Xenopus tropicalis: one gene and its partners. The protein of the gene in region 1 purifies or fractionates together with the protein of each later gene. This does not show direct contact. Links are inferred from orthologs where the notes say so. Each region holds a gene or a part of one and is shown in the gene's direction. Other genes may lie near its edges. The genes, in order: sf3a2, u2surp, prpf3, dhx15, phf5a, snrpd1 and smndc1.

Region 1 (4,195 bases):
CATCAGACAAATTTGTAAGTTAAATGTGCTGATTTTATGCATTAAAAAACACAGCAATGTCAAGTCAAAGTTTCCATTATTTATCTAAAGAATGTAAACATAGCCACCCCCAAACTGTACTTCAGTTGAACGTTGTGGTGGGAATTCCTTCCTAAACCCAAACTTGACAGATAATTGTAGGAAAGGAAACCACCCAACCCATTTTTAATTCCAACCAAAACCAGTCCTCCATGCATCTTGTCAGGGTTTGTGCACAACATCTACAGTTATTAACCGCTTGCTGCAGGTAGATCATAAAAGGTATGGTGTTTGCAGTCAAGGGAGTAACTGCCAGAGCCATAGGTTTTAATGTTCTGGCTTTCTCCATTCTCTTAACCTCTCAGATCGAGAGGTGTGGCAGAGGAATGGTTAATTCTCCTTAATTTTAAACATTTTAAGTTGTGTCAAATTGCTGTACTGATTTCTCTGGCACTGTCTTATTAAAGATCATTTTGTGAACAGTTGCAGACATTCTTACTTTTTTTTTTCCTTTTGATCAGAGCTCGCCGAGCGGCCAAAGAAGCAAAGGAAGCACCAGCACAACCTGCCCCAGAAAAAGTAAAGGTAGAAGTGAAGAAATTTGTCAAAATTGGTCGACCTGGATACAAGGGTGAGATTAAGTGTTGTGTCAATATGTCTTTTATATGAATGCAGTGGTTTATAACCCTGATTCCAACATAATAATCTTTTTTGGTATCCTCAGTCACATGTGGATTACCCTTACATTTAATAGCCTATCTTTTTGTTTGAAGACTGGTTATGCTAACATTTGGCTTAATCATCTGCTTGCAACAGTCCTCTGCACCCATCAGTGCAGGTATATCACTAGGTGCTTTCAGATGGATGTCAGAATTATGCAGTCACACTTTCATCTACCTTTTGTTGCTGCTGTTAGAATGTTTTAAACATTTAGAAGTCCTGTTAGCAAATGTTTCCAGCATTAGTGATGTTTTTTGCACTGATATTGATTTGGCCACTCAGCATTGCAGCTGTTTCTGCCCTGTATCTTGAATGTGAAAGAGTAAATGATATTATTTCACTGACTGATAATAAAGCCATACATTTATTTATTTTCTAGTGACTAAGCAGAGAGATCCAGAAATGGCCCAGCAGTCTTTGTTGTTTCAGGTAATAATGTGATTTACTGATATGCCATCTCTCTTAGACTCTATTTTAAACAAATAATTTAGATTTTTAAAAACAAAGTCCCTTTTTCTGTAATAATAAAACAGTACCTTGTACTTGATGCCAACTAATATAATTGTTACTTATTGGAGACAAAACAATTGTATTTGGTTGATTTAAAGAAAACCCTGGGTCGCAAGCAATCTGGATAAGAGGTTCCATACCTGTATTACAAAAAATTCTATATTACTGATGACAACAAGTATTGTCATAAATGTTACCCCTAAAACAATAACCAATATGTCAATGATGCTCCAGATGCTATAGGGGTGCCCATGCTGTAATGATGCTTCAGCCCTGTCTTTCTTTCTCTGCAGATTGACTATCCTGAGATAGCTGAAGGTATCATGCCCCGACACCGCTTTATGTCTGCATACGAACAGAGGATTGAGCCCCCAGACAGACGATGGCAGTACCTGCTGATGGCTGCAGAGCCCTATGAAACTATTGCTTTTAAGGTAGGATAAGCTATAGAGCAAGCCTTTCTCTAGCATTTGAAACCATAACTTTGAAAAACTCGCACATACAAAACCCTTCTCACCTTATAACACAATTATATATTCTTCAAATACGATTCAGTAGGCGTACCAAACACCCACCATTTCTGCAAAATGACATATTTTTAGTACAGCCTGCACTAACCTACTGAAAATTGACAAGAATTATTTTATCCATGTATCCAATTGTGGAATTTCTACAGCACTTTTTCTTTTATCCAACAGGTCCCAAGTCGAGAAATAGACAAAGTGGAGGGAAAGTTTTGGACACATTGGAACAGAGAGACAAAACAGGTAATATAAAATACATCTTGTGCAAAAGGGGGATCCCTCACGTATGTACCCTAGTAGTCTTAATTACATGTGTTCATTTTGTGCACATTTTGCATATTTCCTCCAAGACAAGATAATTGCCTGACGTGTGATTGTGTACGCAGTGCCCAGGTGATCACTATAAAAGTCTATGGAAGGGCAGTTACAAGCTGCCCACCAAGCTGCAAATTATACAGGGGTGGGTGGCAAAACACCTACAGTCCTGCAGTATGCCATAGGGATAGTTAATTTAATAGTTTTGCCTACCCTTTTTTCTTTAAATGCCAAACAGGCTGAGGTTTAACATTGTGTGTATAAATATTCTTTTTTTATATTATTTAAATAAATGTATAGTAAAAAGCCATAAAGGAACAATAAATAACCCCCCAGTCCTGTCTTTAAGGTAATAATGCATAAATATCAGACAAATACACAATCACCATTAAACAACATTGTAGTAGGTTAGTAGTAACTGCAACAAAGGCAGTATATTCTTTGTTTATTATTACATACAGCCACCGGGTATAACCAGTTACCACAGGCATAGGCACTAAATGGAGAAAATTGCAGCATAATGTATTTAAGCCTAAATGTAAAAAAAAAAAAAGCCAAATATAGGACTTCCCAGATATAAACTGTATAAAGTAAAACACTAAATAACTATTTGAATGTGATGTACCCCTTATTGAAATGGATTACATCACCACTCCATTTTTAAATAACAAATATCCCCACTGTAAAAAATCCTCAGTCATAGTGCCAAATATCAGATCATCATAGTGTAAGGCTAAGGTTATATCCACACGAAAAAATGTTGCCGGAAACCGTTTGGTAACACTCTAGTTTTTCTACACATTTCTGAATACTTCTGGATTACCTTGTAAAGGCTTGGAGCTACAGTATGTGACCTTTTCAACACTTTTTCCTTTGCCCTCTCTTTCAGTTTTTCCTACAGTTCCACTTTAAGATGGAGAAGCCTCCACAAGCACCCACTTTGCCTCCAGCACCACCTGGTGTTAAAAGACCTGTTCCTCCAGCCATCAATGGGATACAAGCACGTCCTCCAATGCCTGAGAATATGCCGCCTCCTCCTCCAGGAGGACTGCCTATGCCCCCAATGCCACCTGGGACACCTGCACCTCCTGTACCGCCACCACAGCTTCCACCTGCCCCAGTTGTTCCTCCTCCTGGGGTGCACCCTCCTGTGCCCCCACCTTCTCTTCCTCCTCCTGGCGTACCACCACCTGGTGTACCACCACCTCCTAATCCTGCTGTGCCTCCACCTGGTGTTCCACCTCCAGGCATTCCTCCTCCAGGCATTCCTCCTCCTGGTGTACCCCCACCACCTGCCCCAGGAGTGCCTCCGCCCCCTGCACCTGGTGTGCCACTCCCTCCAACGCCAGGGGTTCCACCTCCTCCTGCCCCAGGGGTACCTCCTCCACCAGCGCCAGGTGTACCACCTCCAGCACCTGGTGTTCTCCCACCTGGCCCTATGCCTCCAATGATGAGGCCACCTTTACCTAGCGATGGACCAACAAATATTCCTCCACCCCCTCCCACCAACTGATGTATTTCTTTTTCAAAGATAAGCATATTTTTCCCAGTTTTTTTTATTTGTGGTATGTTTTAAATCATTAAAAAAAAATCCCACCTTTGAAATAATATAATGTGGTTTCTCATTTTGTGTGTATGTAGTAGAGTTAGTTACAGGAAGCAAAGCTATAATAACAAAGATTTGCATGGTCAATTGAAACAAAACATATTTGCATTGTTTTGCATTCTGTGCAAATGGATTGAGGCCTGCAATATCCTACTGGGAATTCCTGATTTAATATGTACTACAGAGTGGTGCATTGGTTATTCCAGCAATATCCCTGACAGAGTTTCCACAATAGAGGTTTTGTGAGTTGTCAAGGACAAGGTATGGGAGAGTTTCACAGGGGTGGCTTTCTAAAAATAAGCTGTGAGGGATCCCATTCATTTTGCAAAGTAAAAAAAATTAAAAACATGGGACAGCACAGTTTGGGAATGCGCATCCCACAGTGAACTCAAGGTCTTAGCTTGGCCAAAATGCGGGAACCTCCCAGCATCTCGAACAAAGCTTGGCAGTAAAGGCATCACTAATATTTTCTGAATGCAAGGAGGTATTTGTAACATGCCTT
Region 2 (4,217 bases), on another chromosome or scaffold:
AGGGTAGGGCAGGCAGAGTATGGCACATACAGGCAGCATAGGGCAGGTAGAGTATGGCACACACAGGCAGCATAGGGCAGGCAGAGTATGGCACACACAGGCAGGGTAGGGCAGGCAGAGTATGGCACACACAGGCAGGGTAGGGCAGACAGAGTATGACACACACAGGCAGCACAGGGCATTTAGAGTATGGAACACACAGGCAGCATAGGGCAAGTAAAGTATGGCACACCCAGGCAGGGTAGGGCAGGCAGAGTATGGCACACACAGGCAGGGTAGGGCAGGCAGAGTATGGCACACATAGGCAGGGTAGGGCAGGCAGAGTGCTGCCTGTGTGTGCCATACTCTGTCTGCCCTATGCTGCCTGTGTGTGCCATACTCTGCCTGCCCTTAGCTGCCTGTGTGTGCCATACTCTGCCTGCCTTATGCTGCCTGTGGGAGGTGAACATGGCAAGGGTTTGTTTTGGGAGTTTGTTAGCAGTTGGAAATAGCCATTAAATGATCCCTAAGGTGTGTAATTATGTGCTGGGGGTTGCTATGCTATCCACAGGGGAGGAGGAGGCATATGGATTTCAGGGTATATATTAATATGACATAATATAATTCTTTTACATTTGAATGACAGTAGATATTCCCGCAGTAAGGACCAAGCATTTGGGTTTTTGCTGCGCTACCACCATTGTGATAAAATAGGTGTGGTTTAAAAAAGTGGAGTGGTCAAAAGTGACTTCCATTAGCGGCCCTCCACCATGTATGCGAGAAATTCCGGCCCTTGGCACCGCAGAAGTTGGACAGCACTGGTGTAGACCATAACCACTTAATGTGGAGTGGGTTATGCACTGTACCACTTCATGCGGATGGGAGGGTTTGAACCAAACCACCTGATGTGGACAGGTGTGAGGTCTGTACCACTTGATGTGGATGGACCATACCACTTTATACAAATGGGGGGACCTTACCACTGATACATCTCCAAATAATAATAATATCCTACAGGTTACCGCGTTTTAAACGGATCCGTTGCAGCAGCTCAGTCACTTCTCCGATGGCACAAGGGACATATTTCTGCTACAGAGAAAAGCTGCAACGTCACTAGCCAAATGAAATGCGGCAGCAGAATACTCCGGCATTATAACATATTACTTGCATTAATCAATGCACATGAGAAAACGAATGCCTGCGTGAAATCGCCACAATACATGTAAAAGACACAGTGTAAAGCTCATATCATCACTGCGACAATCACACAAAACACAATTCTGGAGCACGTCGCAAAAGTGACGCAGTTAACAATTGGTCTTGCTGAATGTTTCGGAAATCCATTATCCAGCCTTCTCAGCGTGCGAACTCTCGCCTACTCACATTCATAGCTCTCGGGTATCGATTGCTCGGCCGGGAGGAGGCGGAGATACGCAAGATGGCGGAGAAGACGTCTGGCGGCTCGCAACGAGCGGGGCAAAAGGTGAGCGCTTACTGGGATGCCCCGGCGCTGTGCTGTTTGTATATAGCTTCTGTTTGTGGCGCTCAGGGAAGGGAGGGTACGGGTATTGGCACAGATGCGAAGCCGCAGGCCTGGCTCAGCGATGTGCGCAGGAGTCGAGGCCTGGTCTCCTGGGGAGGCTCATGTACATTGGCTTTGGGGTTGTTATGGGCCTGCAGTTCCGGCTTTAGCAATGGGGCAATTCCAGCAACACATGGGGACCTTTAGCGTGCAGTAGGCGGCCTAGTGCTGGGCAAGCTTTCTGTAGCGCCGGGCAAGCTTTCTGTAGCGCCGGGCAAGCTTTCTGTAGCGCCGGGCAAGCTTTCTGTAGCGCCGGGCAAGCTTTCTGTAGCGCCGGGCAAGCTTTCTGTAGCGCCGGGCAAGCTTTCTGTAGCGCCGGGCAAGCTTTCTGTAGCGCCGGGCAAGCTTTCTGTAGCGCCGGGCAAGCTTTCCGTGAGGCAAAGCGGTGCCGCGCATTGGCTAGAACAGAAGAGAGGAGGGTTGGGAGGATTCTTTGGCGCTCCAGTAGCGTTAGTTCCAAGGCCCGGGGCAGTGTATGTAGAAAGTTGTAGGAGTGCAGTTTCTGGTATATGATATTCCAGCCAAGCTGCTTGCTTTACGGCCTAAGCCAGGGACATGGATGCCACAGTTGTTTGCAGGAAACACAACTAACTGCGACTTTCTGTACTGTAGGAGGCACATCTCACATAGGCTTTCAGAGGGTTTTAGCTCGACAGCAAATAATATATCCAATTCCTAGTGCCTTTTTTTCAACAAACGTAGGATCTAATCAGGTTCCAAACCGACAACATAGAGGGCCATGTATATTTATACTAGTAAACAAACAAACAAGTGGTACCTATGAAGCCGTGTGCATCTCCCTCCAGGTTTCATACTTTTCATCCCTCTTTCTGAAGAAAATTTGTTTTTTTTGTTAATTTGTTTCATAATATTCAGATGACAATATGTGGTGTATTCTAAAGCCCATACATGGGCCAAAAAAATCTGCTCACTTGGCCTCTCCACACAGCAACCTACGGGCCCATATATGGGGCACTTCCAGCATTCTGCCTAAAGTCACCAAATGACTCCCATATACAGGGCCAAATCAAACTAATCATAACGCTGTTCTGTGATGACATAAGGGAACCACATTCAGGCTTTGATACAGTCAACTGCCAAGATTCTCAGTATCAGATACCTGCTGATTTGGTCCTGCAAATGGTCATCATGTTGGGCAAAAATACCCTTGTTTGGGATCTGTTTGTGTGGCCACCCTTGTTTGGGATCTGTTTGGCCACCTTAAATTATACGGCTGCCTCAAGGGGTATAAAAGGGTGCTTTTACCTGCGTAGCACTAACTAGATCAATTATTTAACTGCAGGTATGTCTAATCAGTGCTTTCCTGATGGCTTTGCTTGTGGGATGTTTGCTGAAACCCATTGTTGAGCACAATGAAGTACAGTATGCATTGAAACCTAAAAGGTTTAGGATTCTTATGGGTCTAAGGCTGGTGGCAGTTATTCTGTGGCAACCCTGCTGACCTTACATGTTCAGATTTTAGTCAACTTCCGAAAACATCATATGTTTTAATGCAGTGATCCCCAACCAGTAGCTCGTGAGCAACATGTTGCTCCCAAACCCCTTGGCTGTTGGTCCCAGTGGCCCCAAAGCAGGTGCTCATTTTTTGATAACTTGGCTTGGAGGCAAGTTTTGGTGGCATAAAACCAAGTGAAAAGACAAACAGAGCCTTCTTTAGGCTGCCATTCCACATAGGGGCTTCCAAATAGACAATCATAGCCCTTATTTGGCACCTCCAGGTACCTTTTTCATGCTTGTGTTGCTCCCCAACTCTTTTTACATTTGAATGTTGCTCACGAGTAAAACAGGTTGGGGATCCCTGTTTTAATGCATCGATCTAAAACTAACATTCAGATTTAAATTGTAGGGTAAAGTACTAAAATAATACATTGGAGGGTGGTCTGAACATAAAATAATTGTCAACAGTTGTACCAAAGTGACCTCCCAGAAATGCATTGTAGGTCCCTCAAGGATATCGTCATATCAGACCAAAATTTTCTAACCTACCCAAATGCCTAAACAACTGGTCGCAAGTCTTAGGGGGAGATTTATGAAGACACGAACGCTCGGAGCGTTCATTCGCCAATTTTTTTCGCGTTTGCATGGCTTTTTCGTACGCTTTTTTTTTAGTGTCACTGAGGCCTAACAACTAGATGTATATATGTGTAACAGGTACGTACGTACACATATTTTCAAGTAGACAAACGACCCCTCAGAGACCCCTTAGGCTGGCAGTCACTCAGTCCCTCCCACAACTTATTCTATGCTGTAGTGATGGATTTTGGGAGGTAAATCTAACTGGTTTCAGAGAATCTTTGCATCGCCATTATGTTTTCTCCAGCTTAAATCTCTCTTCAGGTTGGGACTTTTTCTGCTGCCCACTCTGACCAAGCCTCCATGGAAATAATCCAACCCATGGCCTGCCTTCTCACACCTTTATTTGCTTAAAGAGCACCGATCACTGGAATATTTCCCCCCACTGTAGATGTGGCATACTAAAGTCCCCAGCCAGCCCTGTGCTGCCCACACCAGGAGGGAGCTTCCGCTGGGAACAGCCATTCTCAAATGGTTTTGTTTCCCCCAACCAGACGGCAGGTTGTATTACCCTGCACCTCCTGTGCTTCGTTTTACCCCAATAGGTGCATCTGCTTGCTGT
Region 3 (3,500 bases), on another chromosome or scaffold:
GGCTGGCTAACCTTCACGCCATGGGAATTGCTCCTCCGTAAGTAAAGGTCATTCATAGCAAAGTTTCTTGGGCAGTCTGTTGGTGCCACCCTTGCAACACAATCATGTGATGTACCTTGTTCTTTGTCTTTCACTAGTAAAGTGGAGTTAAAGGACCAGTCGAAGCCCACGCCTTTAATTTTAGACGACCAGGGCCGCACTGTTGATGCAACTGGAAAGGAGATTGAGCTGACCCACCGAATGCCCACCCTAAAAGCTAACATCCGGGCAGTGAAAAGGGAGCAGTTCAAACAGCAGCTGAAGGAGAAACCTTCAGAAGACTTGGAGGCCAATACGTTTTTTGACCCCAGAGTTTCCATTGCCTCTTCACAGCGCCAGAAAAGGTTGTTTAAATTCCACGAAAAGGGCAAGTTTGAGAAGATTGCACAACGGCTTCGGACAAAGGTATTAATAGGGCAGAGTGGCCCTTTTTTGTTGTGCTGCTAAATTTTCTTCCATTTCAATACAATACAAGGAATAAAAACTGAGGAATAAACTGCTGCTTGATCCATGTTACCATGTTACTTTTGCCTGGGTCACTTTATTCTAAATATGATGATGTGTATTAAATAATATTAAGGATCTCTGCTAAACAGTCAGGTTTGAGTATACCATCAAAATGTTAAACTATGGTTGTGATGCAGCTCTAGTCATATATTAGGCAACTTTCTCTCCTCACATGAACCATCTGAAGGTATACTAACCGGTTTTGCAGTAGACAAACTACCTAACTTACCAGAAAGTAGTATTTGCTGGAAATGTCTACTTTCTGACTATTAATTAGTGTTCAAGGTGAACTAAAGCAAAAAAAAAAAAAAAATGGTTAAAAACGCTATTTTATATACTGAACTGTGCTAAAAGCCCTAAAAGAAATGATCCAGCCTTTAAATATTGTCCACGGGTTTACCCCATACCCCCCCTTTTAGTGTCAGTGGCACTGCACATTGTGCTCTGGGCTGCTGTTGAAAAGCTTAATCTTAAAGACAGAAATCATGAAGCAGAGAATGAGGTCTCCTTATCACAGAAGCTTTGTGTGTGTGTGTATATATCTACACCTCTTAAGAGATATAAACAAAAGATTAATTTGTATAAACTTTTTTTGTATTTTTTTGTAATTTTTTTTTTTTTTTTTTACTTATCGAAGTAAATCCCTTTAGTGGTTGAAATAAAAGTATCCAGAGCATCATTCATGAATGTAGCCTCTAATAAAGTGTGTACCAAAATAAACATGCTCACTATAGCTTTTTTTCAACAGTCACAACTTGAGAAACTGCAAGCTGAAATTGCCCAAGCTGCAAAGAAAACTGGTATCCAGACATCAACTAGACTTGCCCTGATTGCTCCCAAAAAGGAGCTGCGAGAAGGAGAGATCCCTGAAATAGAGTGGTGGGACTCTTTCATCATACCTAATGGCACAGAACTGTAAGTTTGGCCCACTCCATTTTTTTTATATGGTCTATTTCAGTGCTGATAGTCATGGGAATACAGCTTTGCTTCCTATACTTTTGGCTGCCTTCTCTAAAATTCCAAAAAAATATTGCAGTAAGAAATTTATGCGTAAGGGGATTATATATTATCCCTTTTTGCAACTTTCCAATATATATGTTTATTAAACATTTTCCCTGGCTTTCATGAATGTAACTGTTACTAAAATGTAACTGTTATCATCTGCCTGTTTTTATTCTCTGCACTTCTGCTGCAACAATACATGTCACGGCTTCTAACACCTTTTTTATATTTCAGGACAGAAGAAGCCTTATTAAAAAGAGAAGATTTTCACGGTATCACAAATCTCGTGGAGCACCCAGCACAGCTCAGCCCCCCAGGTAATGTCGACACACAGGATAGAAAGGGTTTCTTATTTAATGTCTAGCAAATAATTCTATGAGCTGTAGTATCTGTCATTATTATTGACTGTTTTATAAGTTTATATGATCAGAGTGGCTAAGCTGTCAAGAGCTGGCTGCAATGCTTACTGTTATGTTTTTTAGATAGTACTTTAGAGCACAGTAAATATTAAACAGTGCACAATTATTTACTTGCATCATTTTCACGTAGATATCTACATATTAGCACCCAGAGGATACTGTTTTTCCTTATCTTTTTAAAATATCAAATATGATTACATAGCACAGTAAATTCACTGAGTGTTTATTATTTACATTGGGCATCACACAATAAGTTCCCACAATCAAGTAGCCATATTAATTTTTTAATTTGAAGTCAAATAAACTGCTGGTATCTAGCTGGTAATTGCAAGGAAACCCACACAGACATGGGAGCATATATACAAATTCTGTGCAGTGCCCAGTTCAATGTTTGGTTGCTGGCCTTGCAGCTGAGATAGATACTGGATTTCTAATTTGATCTTTCTTGATGAAACCGCCTGCCAATAAGACTGTACATGGGACTAAATTTATAATCCATATTTGCTTAGGCTTGTTCAGATATTTCTTAGTCTGTATAGGAGTTCCACTGGGGTCTAGGACCCTCTACATATACTTGCTCAGCACAACACAAATCTACACACTACATGAAGGGCAGCTTAAATACATTCACTATAGATGTGCTAAGCACTGTTTTCTATGTATCCAGTTGACAGAGATGCTCCAGTGACACTAGGAATTTACCTGACGAAAAAGGAACAGAAAAAGTTGCGCCGACAGACTAGAAGGGAAGCACAGAAAGAGTTACAAGAAAAGGTGCGCCTGGGTCTTATGCCCCCGCCAGAACCCAAGGGTAAGTTTCCTGGTTGCTCCATGTAGGTATTAATACAGGTCATGGTTAAAAGACATTGTACTTTATCATAATAACTAAGCAAATTGGCTGTTCTGCATTAAGCATGCCCTTGTGCATCAATGTGTAATTTTGTGTTGATCCTAAATTCAGATTATAAAAATAGGATTTATGAATCCACTTTATCGGCAGTCACTCCCAGTTCTATTCCCAACTGCATACCATAACCTTTCCTTTTCTTTCTCTCAGTGAGGATATCAAATCTCATGCGAGTTTTGGGGACAGAAGCAATCCAGGATCCCACGAAAGTAGAAGCACATGTCAGAGCACAGATGGCAAAAAGACAGAAGTAAGATCACTTCCTTGGTTTTTTTTTCTGTTTAAGTGCATTGTTAGGGGAGGCAGCGGACTAATAAATACCACTTTAACACTGGGGAACCAGAGTAACGCTATTTAACATAAGTAAAGATTCTCAAACTTTTAGACCAGCAGCAGTCATAGAAAGACATTCTAATAGCCTGCCAAAGATGGAGAATTTGCATTTCACCAGCTTGCCAGAGTGGAATTGAATCACCTATTTGGTTGCCACAATATGGTGTGTACCCTAGCAACCAGGCAGTGATTTGTGGAAAAGGCTGGGATATGAACCCCCATTTGATAGCTACCATTTTAAATTTGACTATTAACTTGTAGTATATCTGTAATTGGTCCTGCAGCTCTTGGGC
Region 4 (2,213 bases), about 71 Mb from region 1:
AAGAACTACATCCGCACATGCACAGATATAAAGCCTGAATGGTAAGTTGGAGAATGGGCTAATTAGCTTAGGGGCACACAGCATGTGTAGTAGTAGTAGAAGTGGTAGGTGTTCGTACTTAGTAGCAGCTACTTGTCACTACTAAACTACTATGCCATCCCACTGGCGATTTACACTTGTGCCGGTGGGATGGCATGTCAGGGAGATTAGTCGCCCACGGTAGTGAAGATTTATCACGGGTGACTAATCTCCCTGTATGCCACTGCCCTTAGGGTGAAGACACAGCTACTAGTAGCAGCTACTTGTCATGGCCACAGAAACAGACAATGCTGATTATTTACTCTTAACTGTGTATAAGAGGCAATTCTCAGTATTGTCTATGGCAGAGTATTTTCTGGCATTTAGTAGCCGTGGACAAGTAGCTGCTACTAATAGCTCCGTGTGCCTTCACCCTTAGAGGCACATTTATCTCTTTATTTATCTTGAGCAAACTGCCGATCAGTAAGCTAATCTGACTGTTATGAACTTGCATATACCTTATACAAAAAGCCTGATTCTGTGAAATTTCTGGCTTTATAAATCTGCGTAATGTTTTCCTTACTTAGAAAATCAATGTTTCTTTTTCAGGTTGGTGAAAATTGCAGCTCAATATTACGACATGAGCAACTTTCCTCAGTGTGAAGCAAAGAGGCAACTGGAGCGCATTGTGGCCAAACTTCAGACTAAGGAATATTCACAGTACTGAGTTCTGGGGTTAGGGGTGGGGGGGGGTTGTTTTTTTCTTTTGCAAGTTTTAGCTTGTCTGAAGAGCAGTTTGAGCGAATGAAAGAAGCGATACATTTGTATACTATGTATTGGTCCAGTGGCGACCTTTATATAAGCTTTTTAATTTCTTTCATTACAGTAAATATGACATTCTTATTTCATCAATTGAACCTTTATGGCTCCCCTTTGTGTTAACACTGTTGCTTGTGCTGGAACAGTCAATCAATGTGTTGCAATTTATTGGAAGTAGTTCTATAAATAACATTGTTATAGGCATTTCTTAGGAAATGTTTGAAAGTACTTCTAAAAAAAATATAAATATATATGTATATGAGGGTAACCTGCAGCTCTTCAGATAATGACCTGGAATTCTTAGGGGCATATTTAAAAAGAGGTGTTAAATAATTTACACCTAAAAAGTGGTGGTAAATAAAATGTAGGCTGCATTAATGCCATATACTGTGAGCACAGGAATCCATTACTAGTGCCATTACAAAGCGCCCAAAATTCCCACCATTACTCGACACGGTTCCATACGTGGCACTACTCAGTGAAATTAAAGTGGTGTAAAAAGTGTCAGTAGCTTTTCTTTTTAAGCTAACACTTATTTTTATACCACGTTTGCCTGTACATATGCATAAAATCATTACACAGCTTCGTAAATCCCTGTCCTTTTCACATGGCGATCTATGGTGTTTAAAACAGCGCTGTTGTTGGCGGTTTAACACCTATTTAAAAATGCCCCTTAGTATCGCCCTCCCCGGTTCATTATCTCCATGGCCGCAGGTTGCACATCCCTGTATATGATCACACAATTTTACGCATGATTGGTGTAACTGTTGACATTCCTTTTAGAAGTTGTGAAATGTTACAACTGGTGCATCTGTAAACCCAAACATCAGCCTCAGTACTGGGGCCCTGGCTTCAATAAAGTCTATTTATACAAAACTTTTCATTTTTCTTTATTAATACAGTTTATTGTAGCCACAAAGTGGAGTTTCTACTAGAAGAATGTTATTAAACTACACATTTTCTAATTGTGCTCATGATACCTGCAATAGAATTTTAATTTCTAAATGAGAAAGAAAGAGAAAAACTAAGCTTTATCAGAAAGGTCTATGTAAATACAGCCATAAGCACTCACAGAAATGCTGCACTGAGTTCTCTGTCAAAAGATTTCTTGTCTGTAATTCCTGTGCCAGAGACACACAGCACTCTGCTCTCTCCCCTCTCCTGTTCCCCCCTCCCTCAAGAATGCTAAAAACTCCCCCCCCCCCCCCCCCCCCCATAGGAATGTGGATCTGAGCCAATCAGCAGGAAGCTGACTCATATTCTAACTAACTGAGCATGTACACTTGGTCTCGGTCTCGGTGCAGGAGTGAGGCCTTATGGGAACTTGCTTTACAAAGCTCAGCGTTTTTTCTTTGTTTGGCTTCTGCTCTTCTGAA
Region 5 (4,296 bases), on another chromosome or scaffold:
AGAGTGCCATTGAGCCCTATGGGAGACTTTCCTTGGGCCAGGTTGGAGCTGCAGAGTGCCATTGAGCCCTATGGGAGACTTTCCTTGGCCGGGTTGGAGCTGCAGAGTGCCATTGAGCCCTATGGGAGACTTTCCTTGGGCCAGGTTGGAGCTGCAGAGTGCCATTGAGCCCTATGGGAGACTTTCCTTGGGCCAGGTTGGAGCTGCAGAGTGCCATTGAGCCCTATGGGAGACTTGCCTTGGGCCAGGTTGGAGCTGCAGAGTGCCATTGAGCCCTATGGGAGACTTTCCTTGGGCCAGGTTGGAGCTGCAGAGTGCCATTGAGCCCTATGGGAGACTTGCCTTGGGCCAGGTTGGAGCTGCAGAGTGCCATTGAGCCCTATGGGAGACTTTCCTTGGGCCAGGTTGGAGCTGCAGAGTGCCATTGAGCCCTATGGGAGACTTTCCTTGGGCCAGGTTGGAGCTGCAGAGTGCCATTGAGCCCTATGGGAGACTTTCCTTGGGCCAGGTTGGAGCTGCAGAGTGCCATTGAGCCCTATGGGAGACTTTCCTTGGGCCAGGTTGGAGCTGCAGAGTGCCATTGAGCCCTATGGGAGACTTTCCTTGGGCCAGGTTGGAGCTGCAGAGTGCTATTGAGCCCTATGGGAGACTTTCCTTGGGCTGGGTTGGAGCTGCAGAGTGCCATTGAGCCCTATGGGAGACTTTCCTTGGGCCGGGTTGGAGCTGCAGAGTGCCATTGAGTCCTATGGGAGACTTTCCTTGGGCCGGGTTGGAGCTGCAGAGTGCCATTGAGCCCTATGGGAGACTTTCCTTGGGCCAGGTTGGAGCTGCAGAGTGCCATTGAGCCCTATGGGAGACTTTCCTTGGGCCGGGTTGGAGCTGCAGAGTGCCATTGAGCCCTATGGGAGACTTTCCTTGGGCCAGGTTGGAGCTGCAGAGTGCCATTGAGCCCTATGGGAGACTTTCCTTGGGCCGGGTTGGAGCTGCAGAGTGCCATTGAGCCCTATGGGAGACTTTCCTTGGGCCAGGTTGGAGCTGCAGAGTGCCATTGAGTCCTATGGGAGGCTTCCAAAATCATGCACAGAAGGATCAAAGTCAGAAAGATTTTCCCACATTTTACGACTGTTCAAATATAAATATATATATCGTAAAGATCCGATTTTATTATATTCTTAAATACAAATTTTTCGTACTTCAAAAAGCATGATACAAAAAAACGTATTTGATACGATTTTTTTTGTATCATGCTTTTTAAACGTATGAACATCGTACTTCGATAAATCTGCCCCATAGAATATATTTTAATTGCATTTTCTTTATTGTACTTTATTTTTGGCAAAGTATGTTTAGCTGTAGACTGCCCCTTTAAAGGAAACAGTACTATGGGGCCGAAAAAACGCAAATCTTTTATAAAGCGAAACGCCTATTAACAGGATATCCGGTGTAAAAGTTCATCGCACAAGAAGGAAGAGAAGCGTCTAAGCGATTCTTTAACCAATTGGAACCCACAAGCTAAGTTTCCTAGGCGTAACAGCAAGGAAATGACGTAAAGTCCATGGGCGAGAAAGAGGCTTGGAACACAGAACTGGAGTGAACGCGCGGCCGGCGAAGGAAAGGAATTTAAACAGACATGGCGAAGCATCATCCAGATTTGATTTTTTGCAGAAAACAGGCGGGCGTGGGTGAGTTGCGCTGGGTAATGTGTTCGGTGTAACGGTGTAAAACTGAGGACAGAAAACTCTCCTCTCGTAGGCATTATAGATTGGCCGTTTCTATTGATTGCCTTTCTAAATCATTCGGATAGCACGTTCGGTACTTGTGTATACTCTCCTTGTATGCGTATGTAACAGGTATATGTGTTCCCTCACAGGGCTTCATTAACCCTCTTTTATTTGTTATCCACAATACTTCAGTTTTATAATTGTTATGTATATTTATGTTTCAGATTGTAGTTTGAGAGGTGGAGCTTGAACCTGATCTAGTTATACGCTGAATGCTAACTCCTTGATTATTGCAATTCTACTAAAGCACAATCTGACTTTCCTATTTAAACTCATGCAACAGAACTTGTCCTATATTTGCAGAAATCTGCAGAGAAACCTAACTTCTTATTTAAGGGAAATGTTGATTATTATAATTACAGAGGTGATCTGCACAGTAATGTTACTATTGAAGTGCTTTCCAACATGAATTTCTTATGTTATGAATGTGAGGGAAAATGACAAAACACAATGTTTAGGTGCATCGAATGGGTGAGATTACTCTGTGACCTGTGTAATGGCAAAAAAACAGCGTGCTATAGAAACACAGATTTGTATTTTTTATTTTTTTTTAATGTTTTCCTTTTTCTAAAGCTACATTGTATTTAACATAACAGATAATGAATTCTAAAGCTTAGGGCTTTCATTGTTGTGGACCTCCTGGTAATCTGATACTATACATGCAATGATACGTCGGTACATACAATACTGAAACAGTTCCAGCCAATACCATTTGAGGTTAATTAATGCCTTACTGAATTTATAAATTAATTTCATGTTTGTACTGGCAAGTTGTTGGAGCTAGTAAAGCTAGTCTTTACTACAGCTTTCAAAGGACATGTAAACCATTTATCTTCCTACCACGTATATAAGTTGGCACATACCCCCCCCCCCAACCAAACTTTACCATTTGTACTGCATATAACCCCTCTGTTTGCCAAAACCATCACATTTTCCTAAAGCAAATAGCAGCTTTACCCGGTGGCCATATTCTCTCTCGCACATCTTTAGTGACATTAAAGGAGAAAAAAATGTTAGGCAGCCCCACGTGGCTTTAATCGCTTACTTTTTACCCTGTGTGGTGCCCCTGTTAGGAGAAAACCGCACCAGCACTGGGTAGCTGTGAGCAAGTGTCTCCTCTTCCTTCTCATCAAAATCCCTGGGCCGGTGCATGTGCAGTAGAGTGAAAAGCCGACTTTTTTGTTAAAGTTTGGCTTTTCACTCTACTGCGCAAGTGCGCAAAGAAAGAAGAGGAGACCACACTCGCAGCTACCCCAGGCTGGTGCGTTTTTCTCCTAACAGGGGCACCAGCCCGGGGTAAAAGGAAAGCAATTAAAGTCACTTGGGGGTGCCTAACGTTTTGACACCCCCAAGTGACTTAGCCTTTCCTTTTCCTTTAACATCTGTAAATTGCACATATTAAAGTTACTTTAACAAGAAGTCCTGCTTGGATTGTGCCCTGTAACCGTAAACTGAGCTCCAGCAGATTACACAGCGAGAGCAGCGTTTCTAGGGAAACCAGCAGTGATCTCTTCATTGGCTGCTAGACTGGAGGCTGTGTTTGGTAACCTGAGTTAAGAAGAACTGAGCATGCTCGTTAGCCACCAGCCGAAGTCAATTCATAAGGGATGGGGCAGAGCGGGTTAGAGGAGGAAAAGAAATCCTAAGTGATTAAGGGGATACTGCAGCCTTTCTATTAACCGTTTGAACAACAGGAGTGGCAGGTATTTAAAGATTTCAATGAGGCTGTTCACTGATTACATTTTTGTTTGTTTTACATGTCCTTTAAAGCATTTTAGATATTTAAGATATGTGTACAACATGATGACCACTGTTTAATATATATATATATATATATATATATATATATATATATATATATATAAACACTTACATTTATAATTTTCTATTGCAGCTATTGGAAGACTCTGTGAAAAATGTGAGTATATATAATTCTTAAACTTTTAAAATATAAATTGCATTTGTTCATATGCAAAAAATGTTTCACCTTTGTCTTCTTTGTGCAACTGATTATTTCTCAACAAGCAATGGTTTTTAAGTGTTGCTGCCAGTCCTATATCTGATATCTCTGATATATCTGATTATATATTCTATATTCAGCAGTTGTATTACATTAGACATTATTAAAAAAATGACATTGCTTAACATCTGCTGAGTGGGGAAAATCAAGAATTTACAGTCTGTTTAAAAGTGTGTGTAGTTGTGGGGTGCATGTAAGGTTAGACTTAAGGTCCTCATACACCATAAGATCCGCTCGCTTGGCGATGTCGCCAAGCGAGCGGATCTTCTCCCGATATCCCCCACCTATGGGTGGGCGATATCGGGAGAATCCAGGGTAATTCGATCCCTGGGGCCAAATGATCGAATTATAACAGCAGGTATAGGAAAAGTCGGTCCGGGGACTGCATCAATGAGCCGATGCGGTCCACGATCCAACTAGATTTTCTAACCTGCCCCATCGAGATCTGGCCAATTTGAGGCCAGATATCGGTCGGGCAGGCCTGTTGGGAGTGCG
Region 6 (4,221 bases), on another chromosome or scaffold:
GTCCTGCGTGCTCACAAACTAACTTGAACAGTTATATCCCATGTGGCAGGAAGTAGAGTTTCTGGCTGTTATGTTAGACATCTGCTCACTCCAGCCTTTATAGGTTACATCCCCAACCTTTTATACATTCAAATGGAAAAAGTGTTGAGGAGCAACACAAGCATAAAAATAATCCTGGGGGTGGCAAATGAGAGCTATGATTGGCTATTGGTAGCCCTATGTGGACTGGCAGCCTACACAAGGCTCTGTTTGTCATTATACTTGGTTTTTATTCAACCAAAACTTGCCTCCTAACCAGAAATTCAAAAATAAGCACCTGCTTTGAGGCCACTGGGAGCAACATCCAAGGGGTTGGTGAGCAACATATTGCTCCTGAGCCACTGGTTGGGGATCAGTGCTTTAAGTAGTACTCATTGTGAGGGTATTGGGTCCAAGAAGTGAAGTGTAACGCTTGTTTGGCTATATATAGACAAAACCCATGCTAGTGTTAGGTTTAGAGCATGGGCTACATGCGACTCTCTTAGACAAAATGGGCCTTCGCTAGGTGGAAGAGACCATGCGGAGTAAGGGTGTAGTGGTCCCAGGCTCAGTGGAGCTGTTCCTTGAGATTCAGAAGGCAGCCAAAGAGAAAGTCACATCTCCTTGCTAGACACTATATGAGACTGCAAGGGGTGTGATCAACCCAAATAACCAATAAGGTGTAAACTATATACATGGGACTTTGCCCAGCAGGGGCGGGCCAAGCTGACCAGGCGCCCTAGGCAACCCGGTTGGCCACCCCCCACCCCCTTGCGTGTGCTTAGGCATTTGGCCACTCCCCCTCTCCCCGAATGGCGCCAAAACAAACGCAAGGGGGGGGGGTGCAATCCAATCGGTCATTGCCTCCACCACTAATTACAAGCGGTGGGGGCAATGACAAGTAGCAGGACTAGGGGTAGGCAGAAGAGGCTCCTGTCTGGCGCCCCCCAATCGTTGCGCCCGAGGCAGCTGCCTCTTCTGCCTACCCCTAGTTCCGGCCCTGTTGCCCAGTAACAGTACAAAATCAGAAGAGGTAGGATTTAAAGCCATAGGGGAGCTTAACCCTATGGGTCCCTACGGAAGATTCAAACCTCAGCACTAGTTGTCTAAAGGTCTCTAACAATGGGGATTGCAGACAGCATATCAAAAGCATGTAAAAAAAAAAAAATGCAGTGGCAGGTAAGCAGGTAAAGGGATGTTGTCTTCAGAAAACGAAACATTAACTTTTACCTAAAAATAAAGTTTAATAGTGAGAATACTTATTTTCATGCCATGCAATGCCAATGGCCAACCTAGATCCAAAATGAAATTTAGCTTCAATACCACGCCCTCTTCTACTTCGGCCCCGCCCCGATGGTGTTGTAGCGTTTCTGTTGAATTAAATGCACCAGTTGACTTTAGCTCAGCTATGTATGCTAAGTTTTTATTACAACAGTATTTCTTTATAAATGCATTGCGCTGTATTAGACGAAATTTTAAGTAATCCACAAGCATAAAAGGCTTCGCTGGAACGCCGCTTTGTGCATTTTATTTAAGCAAGTATCTTAACTGCAGTGTAGGCCTCCCCTTATAGTATTGCTTTTTAAAAGTCGAAAATGTAATTCTCCTTTTTCTACGTGGAGACAGGCTAGCGTTTTCATCTTCTATTACACATGTAACAAAAACTTCCGCCCTCGACTGGGGCTTCCGCTTCCGGATCTGACGTAGGTGCCGATTTCCGCTGGAACGTTGCTTTCGCTCAATGAGAATTCGGAGGGTCTAAAAGTAAATTTTCGCGTTTCATTTTGCCAGTCCTATAACCCTTTTCTGGCCGAAGGAGTCGGATCCGCGTTCGTATTAAGAAGTCATGAAGTTAGTTAGGTAAGCGTTTAGATTGTTATGGGTTCCTTCACAGAGGATGGTGGTGGATTGAGAGTTACGTTTGAGAGCTTTGTGTAAGTAGAAGATTACGGCGGGAAGTAAAGGCTCCGTCGGATAATAATGTATTAGCGAGTCTGCGTTGTAATATAAACTGTGTAACTAATGGGTTCATCACGAGCGGCTGGCCATGAACGCTTTTGTTTTTTTTTCTCATAGGTTTTTGATGAAATTAAGTCATGAAACTGTCACAGTGGAACTTAAGAACGGAACCCAAGTGCATGGCACGATCACAGGTAATACAGAGGGGCACATAAATATATACCATAACATTGCTATGTGTACTTAATGTGCACAATGGAAATACTTATTGATAATATCTTTATAAAAGAGACATACCATTTTGTCTTGCTTCAGTGTGTATTGGTTTATATACTACTAGCAAAGGTGTTACTGGTGGGAAATAATGAATTTTCTCAGACTTAATATATAAATAAGCTGTGTGCATCCATGATTGCCCAGTGGGCAGGTGGAACCATTTGCAAGCTGGCATTAAATAATGTGAATTACTGAAAGTCTAGCATGCACCCCAGTGCTGGATATGGCAACTTCAGCCAGCTCCTCTGATTGGTCTCACACTTATGAGCATTTGGATCTGTGGGTCAGGGTGAACATTTATTGGTAGGAGGTAGGTCCGGTGGGGAATATGTAGAAAAGGGGAAGCTTCCCCACAATTGTGGTTTGACTCTGATCATAATTGGCTGTGTATTAGTAACCCCTGTGGTGCAAAGAGCAGGGACTGGTTCTGGTCAATGTGTCTTCTCTGTAAGTCGGTGAAGCCATGCTGTTTTGAATACAGAGTGTAGGTCTTGTCATATACACATGCGTGTCACCTCAAAAATACAGTTCCGGCAGCATAGGTTACATAACTTCTGCTGTCTTTTGTTGCTAAGACTTGGCTTCTGTGCAGTAAGTTTTATTTTGATGGAATGTGCTAAGAAAAGTAGCGTTTATTGAAATTTTCGCCCAAAAACCCACTAGCCCCACCCACCTGTTTTACTACCTGCTGCCTTCTTTTCCCAGGCTGCATCTAGGCCAGTGGTTCGTGAGCAACATGTTGCTCTCCAACCCCTTGGATGTTGCTCCCAGTGGCTTTAAAACAGGTGCTTATTTTTGAATTATGGGCTTTGAGGCATGTTTTGGTTGCATAAAAACCAGATATGCTGCCAAACAGAACATCCTGTAGGTTTTTCAGTCCATATAGGGGTTACCAAATAGCCAATAACAGTCCTTATTTAGTAACCAAAGGAACATGTATTATGCCTGTTTTGCTCCCCAAGTCTTCTTATATTTGAATGTGACTCACGGATAAAAAAAGGTTGGGGATCCCTGATCTAGGCAAACCTGATAGGGAGCTGAAGCCTTCCTTTGTGTGAGTGCAGGGCTGTGATTGGCAACCCCCCCTCCTACTGTGTTTATGGCAGGGACCGTTAGGACACGCCCCCCTCCCTCATTTGAAACAGGGAACTAAGAGAATATTTTTGTTAATCCTATATGCCTCCTTTAAATTTTGTTGGATGCCCTAGTAAAGCACCAATAACTGCAAATAACAGTGATACTAATCTGTGATTACTGTTGTGTTCAGCCATTGGACAACTTCCCAGTTTATGGTACTCAGTGCTAATTTTTAAACCAGGGGCACCTAATCTCCCCAAAATGCCATCCCACCGACTAGAATGTAAATCGCCGATGCAGTGGCATATGCGGCAGGGCGATTTGCCGAAGTTGCAAAGGAACTTCGGCAATTTCTGCGCCATGTATGCCGTCCCACCGGGAATTACATTCTAGCCGGTGGGATGGCATTTCGGGGAGATTTGTCGAGTGGCGACTAATCTCCCCGTCTGCCACAGCCCTTAGTTTACAAAATATTCTGCCCCTGCTTGCAATGCCTATTCACATCTCCAACCTATTCTGTTGTGTTCTTTCATGTTACCACAAATTTGTTTGGACATGGGACAACAACTTGACAGAGACATCTCATCCGGGAGAAAGTCAACAGCTATTTTTAGTTACCAAAATTTTGGTCAAATAGAATGGGCCAGTCTGTTGTGGGCAGGGGGACCTGTCAGATTTTATCATACCATAGGGTACAACCAAATGCAACAAAACCTTTTTCAAAGATGTTCTTTTAATTTGTCATACGTTTACCTTAAAGGGCACCGATCGCGCTAAAATTGCTTCCCCACCAAAGTTGCAGGCTAATAGAGCCCACACTCTGGTTGGGAGATGCAGTAGTTTTTGGGTTTTTTTTAAAGTCTGTCTGCACTAGGCCGCCCCCCACCAGGA
Region 7 (4,274 bases), on another chromosome or scaffold:
GCAGATTTACTTTTCCAAACTAGCCCAGTCAGTTCTAAAACCAGCCCAAAACCAGCCAAAAGCCACTTTAAAAGTAGCCCAAAAATAGCCCAATATGCGCAATGAAAAGAAATCTAAAAAAATAGAAAAGTATTTGGAAAAATCTGCCTTTTTAAAGCGTATAATCCCTACCCAAGCCCTGTGCCCCCTCTCCAGTTACTGGGGTGGCTGATTATTCCCTCTGTGCCCAGTCCCACTGGGAAGTCACTACAGCAATGAATTCAGAATGTTGTATTAACCCCAGATATGATATACATACGGGTGCGTTGGACTACAACTCTCAGAAGCCCCAAGATACCCTGAGAGTTATAGCAGAACTGCCCCACATCCCAGTAGAAAGTAACAGTACAATCACATACCCTATAGAGCAGGGGGTAGAACTGCCCCACATCCCAGTAGAAAGTAACAGTACAATCACATACCCTATAGAGCAGGGGGCAGGGGGTAGAACTGCCCCACATCCCAGTAGAAAGTAACGGTACAATCACATACCCTATAGAGCAGGGGGTAGAACTGCCCCACATCCCAGTAGAAAGTAACAGTACAATCACATACCCTATAGAGCAGGGAGTAGAACTGCCCCACATCCCAGTAGAAAGTAACAGTACAATCACATACCCTATAGAGCAGGGGGTAGAACTGCCCCACATCCCAGTAGAAAGTAACAGTACAATCACATACCCTATAGAGCAGGGGGCAGGGGGTAGAACTGCCCCACATCCCAGTAGAAAGTAACAGTACAATCACATACCCTATAGAGCAGGGAGCAGGGGGTAGAACTGCCCCACATCCCAGTAGAAAGTAACGGTACAATCACATACCCTATAGAGCAGGGGTAGAACTGCCCCACATCCCAGTAGAAAGTAACAGTACAATCACATACCCTATAGAGCAGGGGGTAGAACTGCCCCACATCCCAGTAGAAAGTAACAGTACAATCACATACCCTATAGAGCAGGGAGCAGGGGGTAGAATAGACAGGTTGAGCCTGAAACAGCAAAAAGGAATACAAAACAGAATGTCTATACTGTCCAATTGCATGCTGGGTATTGTAGTTTTATATCATTACTAGCTGTAGGCTAATTGTTACATACAAACTACATTACCCAGCATGCAGTGGGACAGGCACACTAGAGGGGAAAAAAAACTTTGGCTACTTTATAAACTACAAACCCGCCAAGGCTCCAAACAATAACCCAGAACTGTACCTTGGGCTAGTAGCCCAATTTGGCGGGAAAACCACCAACCCGACAACCCTCACACAGACTCTCTCACAGGCGGCTCTCGTATTCTTGCCCCTCCCCCTAGAGCGCAACCGACGCCACTTTGGCTTCTCCCCTGGTCGCCATGGCAACCGTCTCTGCGTGCGTAAGAGCCGGGGGCGGGGCGTCTGGGCAAGTGCGAGAGCCCGGAATTCTCGCGAGAAGAGGAGGGGCTGCCGGGAAGTGAGTGTTTGTGAGACGGAGAGCGACGCGGTGAGTGACCGGAGCGGGAAACCGGGGGATTGGGCGGCTGAGCGGCCCGGGGCTGGGTTACTGAGGGTCGGGGGGGTCGGAGTTGGCTTATAGTGTGGTGCTGGGCAGCCCCTGTCTCTATAGCGTTACCCCCGGGGCGTCCGGCCTCATGGGCCTTGTACTGTGTGTCTGAGCCCCCCCCCCCCATCCCTCCCCCCTACCGACACCCCATTGGCCACTTATGTTTGTACTCACCCCTCATTCACTCGGAACCGGGACTGGTCCTGTAGTTTGTCCCCAACCCATTCCTACTCATTCCTGTCCCTTATCCCTTCCCTCCCACTGTCTGAGGGAAACACTATGGCACCTCCTACCCATATGTATAAATACAAATATACAGAGAGGGAATGTTCTGGGCACACAATAAGCTGTACCCCCATACTGTACTGTCTAAGGGAAACACTATGGCACCCCCTACCCATATGTATAAATACAAATATACAGAGAAGGAATGTTCTGGGCACACAATAAGCTGTACCCCCATTACTGTACTGTCTAAGGGAAACACTATGGCACCTCCTACCCATATGTATAAATACAAATATACAGAGAAGGAATGTTCTGGGCACACAATAAGCTGTACCCCCATACTGTACTGTCTAAGGGAAACACTATGGCACCCCCTACCCATATGTATAAATACAAATATACAGAGAGGGAATGTTCTGGGCACACAATAAGCTGTACCCCCATACTGTACTGTCTAAGGGAAACACTATGGCACCCCTACCCATATGTATAAATACAAATATACAGAGAAGGAATGTTCTGGGCACACATAAGCTCCACCCCCATACTGTACTGTCTAAGGGAAACACTATGGCACCTCCTACCCATATGTATAAATACAAATATACAGAGAAGGAATGTTCTGGGCACACAATAAGCTGTACCCCCATACTGTACTGTCTAAGGGAAACACTATGGCACCTCCTACCCATATGTATAAATACAAATATACAGAGAGGGAATGTTCTGGGCACACAATAAGCTGTACCCCCATACTGTACTGTCTAAGGGAAACACTATGGCACCCCTACCCATATGTATAAATACAAATATACAGAGAAGGAATGTTCTGGGCACACAATAAGCTGTACCCCCATACTGTACTGTCTAAGGGAAACACTATGGCACCCCCTACCCATATGTATAAATACAAATATACAGAGAAGGAATGTTCTGGGCACACAATAAGCTGTACCCCCATACTGTACTGTCTAAGGGAAACACTATGGCACCTCCTACCCATATGTATAAATACAAATATACAGAGAAGGAATGTTCTGGGCACACAATAAGCTGTACCCTCATACTGTACTGTCTAAGGGAAACACTATGGCACCTCCTACCCATATGTATAAATACAAATATACAGAGAAGGAATTGTTTTATTCTCTAATATAAAGTGACTGTACATGACTGATTCCCGTTGCTGGTTCCTTGCAGATGGCAGAAGATTTAGCTAAGCAGCTGGCGGGTTACAAAGCCCAATTGCAACAGGTTGAATCTGCGTTAACGGCCAATGGCGAGAATGAAGATTTACTGAAACTAAAGAAAGATTTGCAGGTAATTCCCTTGTTAATAGCGTGGCCTGTGGCTTCTGTTTGCCCTGCCCGGCCAGTAAATGGGATAAAGGTCTAAGCCTTATTCTCCTCTGTTTTATTACTGCTCCCGGTGCATTTCCAGTGCACAATCCCCATTTTTATTGTCCTAAAGATCTTGTTTCCCCTTAACCCTTTGGGTGCCAGTAACATTTAGGGACACTTGTCTCTAGGCAACATGGTTTTGTCATTGCCTGTAACGTAATGCAGAAATGTATTCAGGTCTGTGGAGTCTACGTTTTGTGTCAGGAAAGCAGTTAAAGGAGAAATTAACCCTCCTAGAAGGCATATGGAACAGACCCACTGCCCTAACCAGATGCCCTGCCCAATCATACGTGACTAAATTAAAGGGGTGTGTTTGGTGGCGGCCATGTCTGCTCACAACACTGGCACAAATTGCCAACATGGAGGGTTCAAACTGGAAGCCAGTAACAGATTCACAGGAGGGGGAGGAGACTCCATGCAGGGGGCCAGATACTTACTACAAGGGTTTACTTCTCCTTTAGAACAAATCCACCATTCTGGCAGGATTTGTCCTTCAGGTCTTTATTATGGTTCTTCTTCCTCCCAAGGGCTCCAGTGCCTTTTTGTGTATTATTCAATCCTAGGAAAATTCCTTCCAAATATCTGATATATTGCCGGTCATTCTACAGGCAGCAAACTAATGCTTTATTAGATTGTAAGCTCTTGATGTACCATGTCGGTGGTAAGGAAGCAAATCTCGTCAGTTGTAGAGCTGCTTGGCACGGCTATATACAGCAGCACAGTTATTTCACTTGGAGCATAAAACTAGTACTTTACCTATTCCAGGAGTTGGATCTGTATTTGGCCAATATTTGGATTTGACTGCACCTTTATTTATGGTCATGTGGTTTTAAAGTAACCGACAGCCGGATGTCCAATCCCTTGTGGGGTGTTTGGCCAAATCCAAAATAATGGATTGTGTAGCCCTTAAAACAAGGTTTTATACCCCAGATGTTGCCCACTGAGTGTAGGCAGCTAAACTGGAGGGTCCATGTCGGCCTTCACCTCCTTGCAGTGAGGGTCTCTGACCCTGGACCTGAGCTGTGCTCCCCGCTTCCCTCCAGCAGTGGGTGCTGTTGCCATTATCCCACAG

Evidence for each region.
Region 2: the proteins of sf3a2 (region 1) and u2surp purify together in Homo sapiens (affinity purification with mass spectrometry; 3 studies listed by BioGRID, with this or other methods). This does not show direct contact. The link is inferred for Xenopus tropicalis from reciprocal best matches to the Homo sapiens genes SF3A2 and U2SURP.
Region 3: the proteins of sf3a2 (region 1) and prpf3 purify together in Homo sapiens (affinity purification with mass spectrometry; 3 studies listed by BioGRID and IntAct, with this or other methods). This does not show direct contact. The link is inferred for Xenopus tropicalis from reciprocal best matches to the Homo sapiens genes SF3A2 and PRPF3.
Region 4: the proteins of sf3a2 (region 1) and dhx15 purify together in Homo sapiens (affinity purification with mass spectrometry; 4 studies listed by BioGRID and IntAct, with this or other methods). This does not show direct contact. The link is inferred for Xenopus tropicalis from reciprocal best matches to the Homo sapiens genes SF3A2 and DHX15.
Region 5: the proteins of sf3a2 (region 1) and phf5a purify together in Homo sapiens (affinity purification with mass spectrometry; 5 studies listed by BioGRID and IntAct, with this or other methods). This does not show direct contact. The link is inferred for Xenopus tropicalis from reciprocal best matches to the Homo sapiens genes SF3A2 and PHF5A.
Region 6: the proteins of sf3a2 (region 1) and snrpd1 purify together in Homo sapiens (affinity purification with mass spectrometry; 4 studies listed by BioGRID and IntAct, with this or other methods). This does not show direct contact. The link is inferred for Xenopus tropicalis from reciprocal best matches to the Homo sapiens genes SF3A2 and SNRPD1.
Region 7: the proteins of sf3a2 (region 1) and smndc1 purify together in Homo sapiens (affinity purification with mass spectrometry; 4 studies listed by BioGRID and IntAct, with this or other methods). This does not show direct contact. The link is inferred for Xenopus tropicalis from reciprocal best matches to the Homo sapiens genes SF3A2 and SMNDC1.

Annotation. Positions count from the first base shown.
Region 1 is NC_030677.2:102,623,189-102,627,383, reverse strand, and holds the end of sf3a2 (splicing factor 3A subunit 2), read left to right. Parts: coding exon 1-14; intron 15-539; coding exon 540-649; intron 650-1,117; coding exon 1,118-1,167; intron 1,168-1,541; coding exon 1,542-1,682; intron 1,683-1,946; coding exon 1,947-2,015; intron 2,016-2,976; coding exon 2,977-3,600; 3' UTR 3,601-3,695; downstream 3,696-4,195. UniProt on the Homo sapiens protein: Component of the 17S U2 SnRNP complex of the spliceosome, a large ribonucleoprotein complex that removes introns from transcribed pre-mRNAs.
Region 2 is NC_030681.2:119,887,916-119,892,132, forward strand, and holds the start of u2surp (U2 snRNP-associated SURP motif-containing protein), read left to right. Parts: upstream 1-1,417; coding exon 1,418-1,462; intron 1,463-4,217.
Region 3 is NC_030684.2:127,691,370-127,694,869, reverse strand, and holds part of prpf3 (U4/U6 small nuclear ribonucleoprotein Prp3), read left to right. Parts: coding exon 1-37; intron 38-137; coding exon 138-444; intron 445-1,294; coding exon 1,295-1,461; intron 1,462-1,782; coding exon 1,783-1,865; intron 1,866-2,634; coding exon 2,635-2,778; intron 2,779-3,024; coding exon 3,025-3,124; intron 3,125-3,500. UniProt on the Homo sapiens protein: Plays a role in pre-mRNA splicing as component of the U4/U6-U5 tri-snRNP complex that is involved in spliceosome assembly, and as component of the precatalytic spliceosome (spliceosome B complex).
Region 4 is NC_030677.2:31,415,087-31,417,299, reverse strand, and holds the end of dhx15 (pre-mRNA-splicing factor ATP-dependent RNA helicase DHX15), read left to right. Parts: coding exon 1-41; intron 42-627; coding exon 628-745; 3' UTR 746-1,713; downstream 1,714-2,213.
Region 5 is NC_030680.2:120,351,134-120,355,429, forward strand, and holds the start of phf5a (PHD finger-like domain-containing protein 5A), read left to right. Parts: upstream 1-1,496; 5' UTR 1,497-1,630; coding exon 1,631-1,682; intron 1,683-3,675; coding exon 3,676-3,699; intron 3,700-4,296.
Region 6 is NC_030682.2:65,070,037-65,074,257, reverse strand, and holds the start of snrpd1 (small nuclear ribonucleoprotein Sm D1), read left to right. Parts: upstream 1-1,421; 5' UTR 1,422-1,864; coding exon 1,865-1,878; intron 1,879-2,094; coding exon 2,095-2,171; intron 2,172-4,221. UniProt on the Homo sapiens protein: Plays a role in pre-mRNA splicing as a core component of the spliceosomal U1, U2, U4 and U5 small nuclear ribonucleoproteins (snRNPs), the building blocks of the spliceosome.
Region 7 is NC_030683.2:2,911,965-2,916,238, forward strand, and holds the start of smndc1 (survival of motor neuron-related-splicing factor 30), read left to right. Parts: upstream 1-1,474; 5' UTR 1,475-1,514; intron 1,515-3,002; coding exon 3,003-3,122; intron 3,123-4,274. UniProt on the Homo sapiens protein: Involved in spliceosome assembly.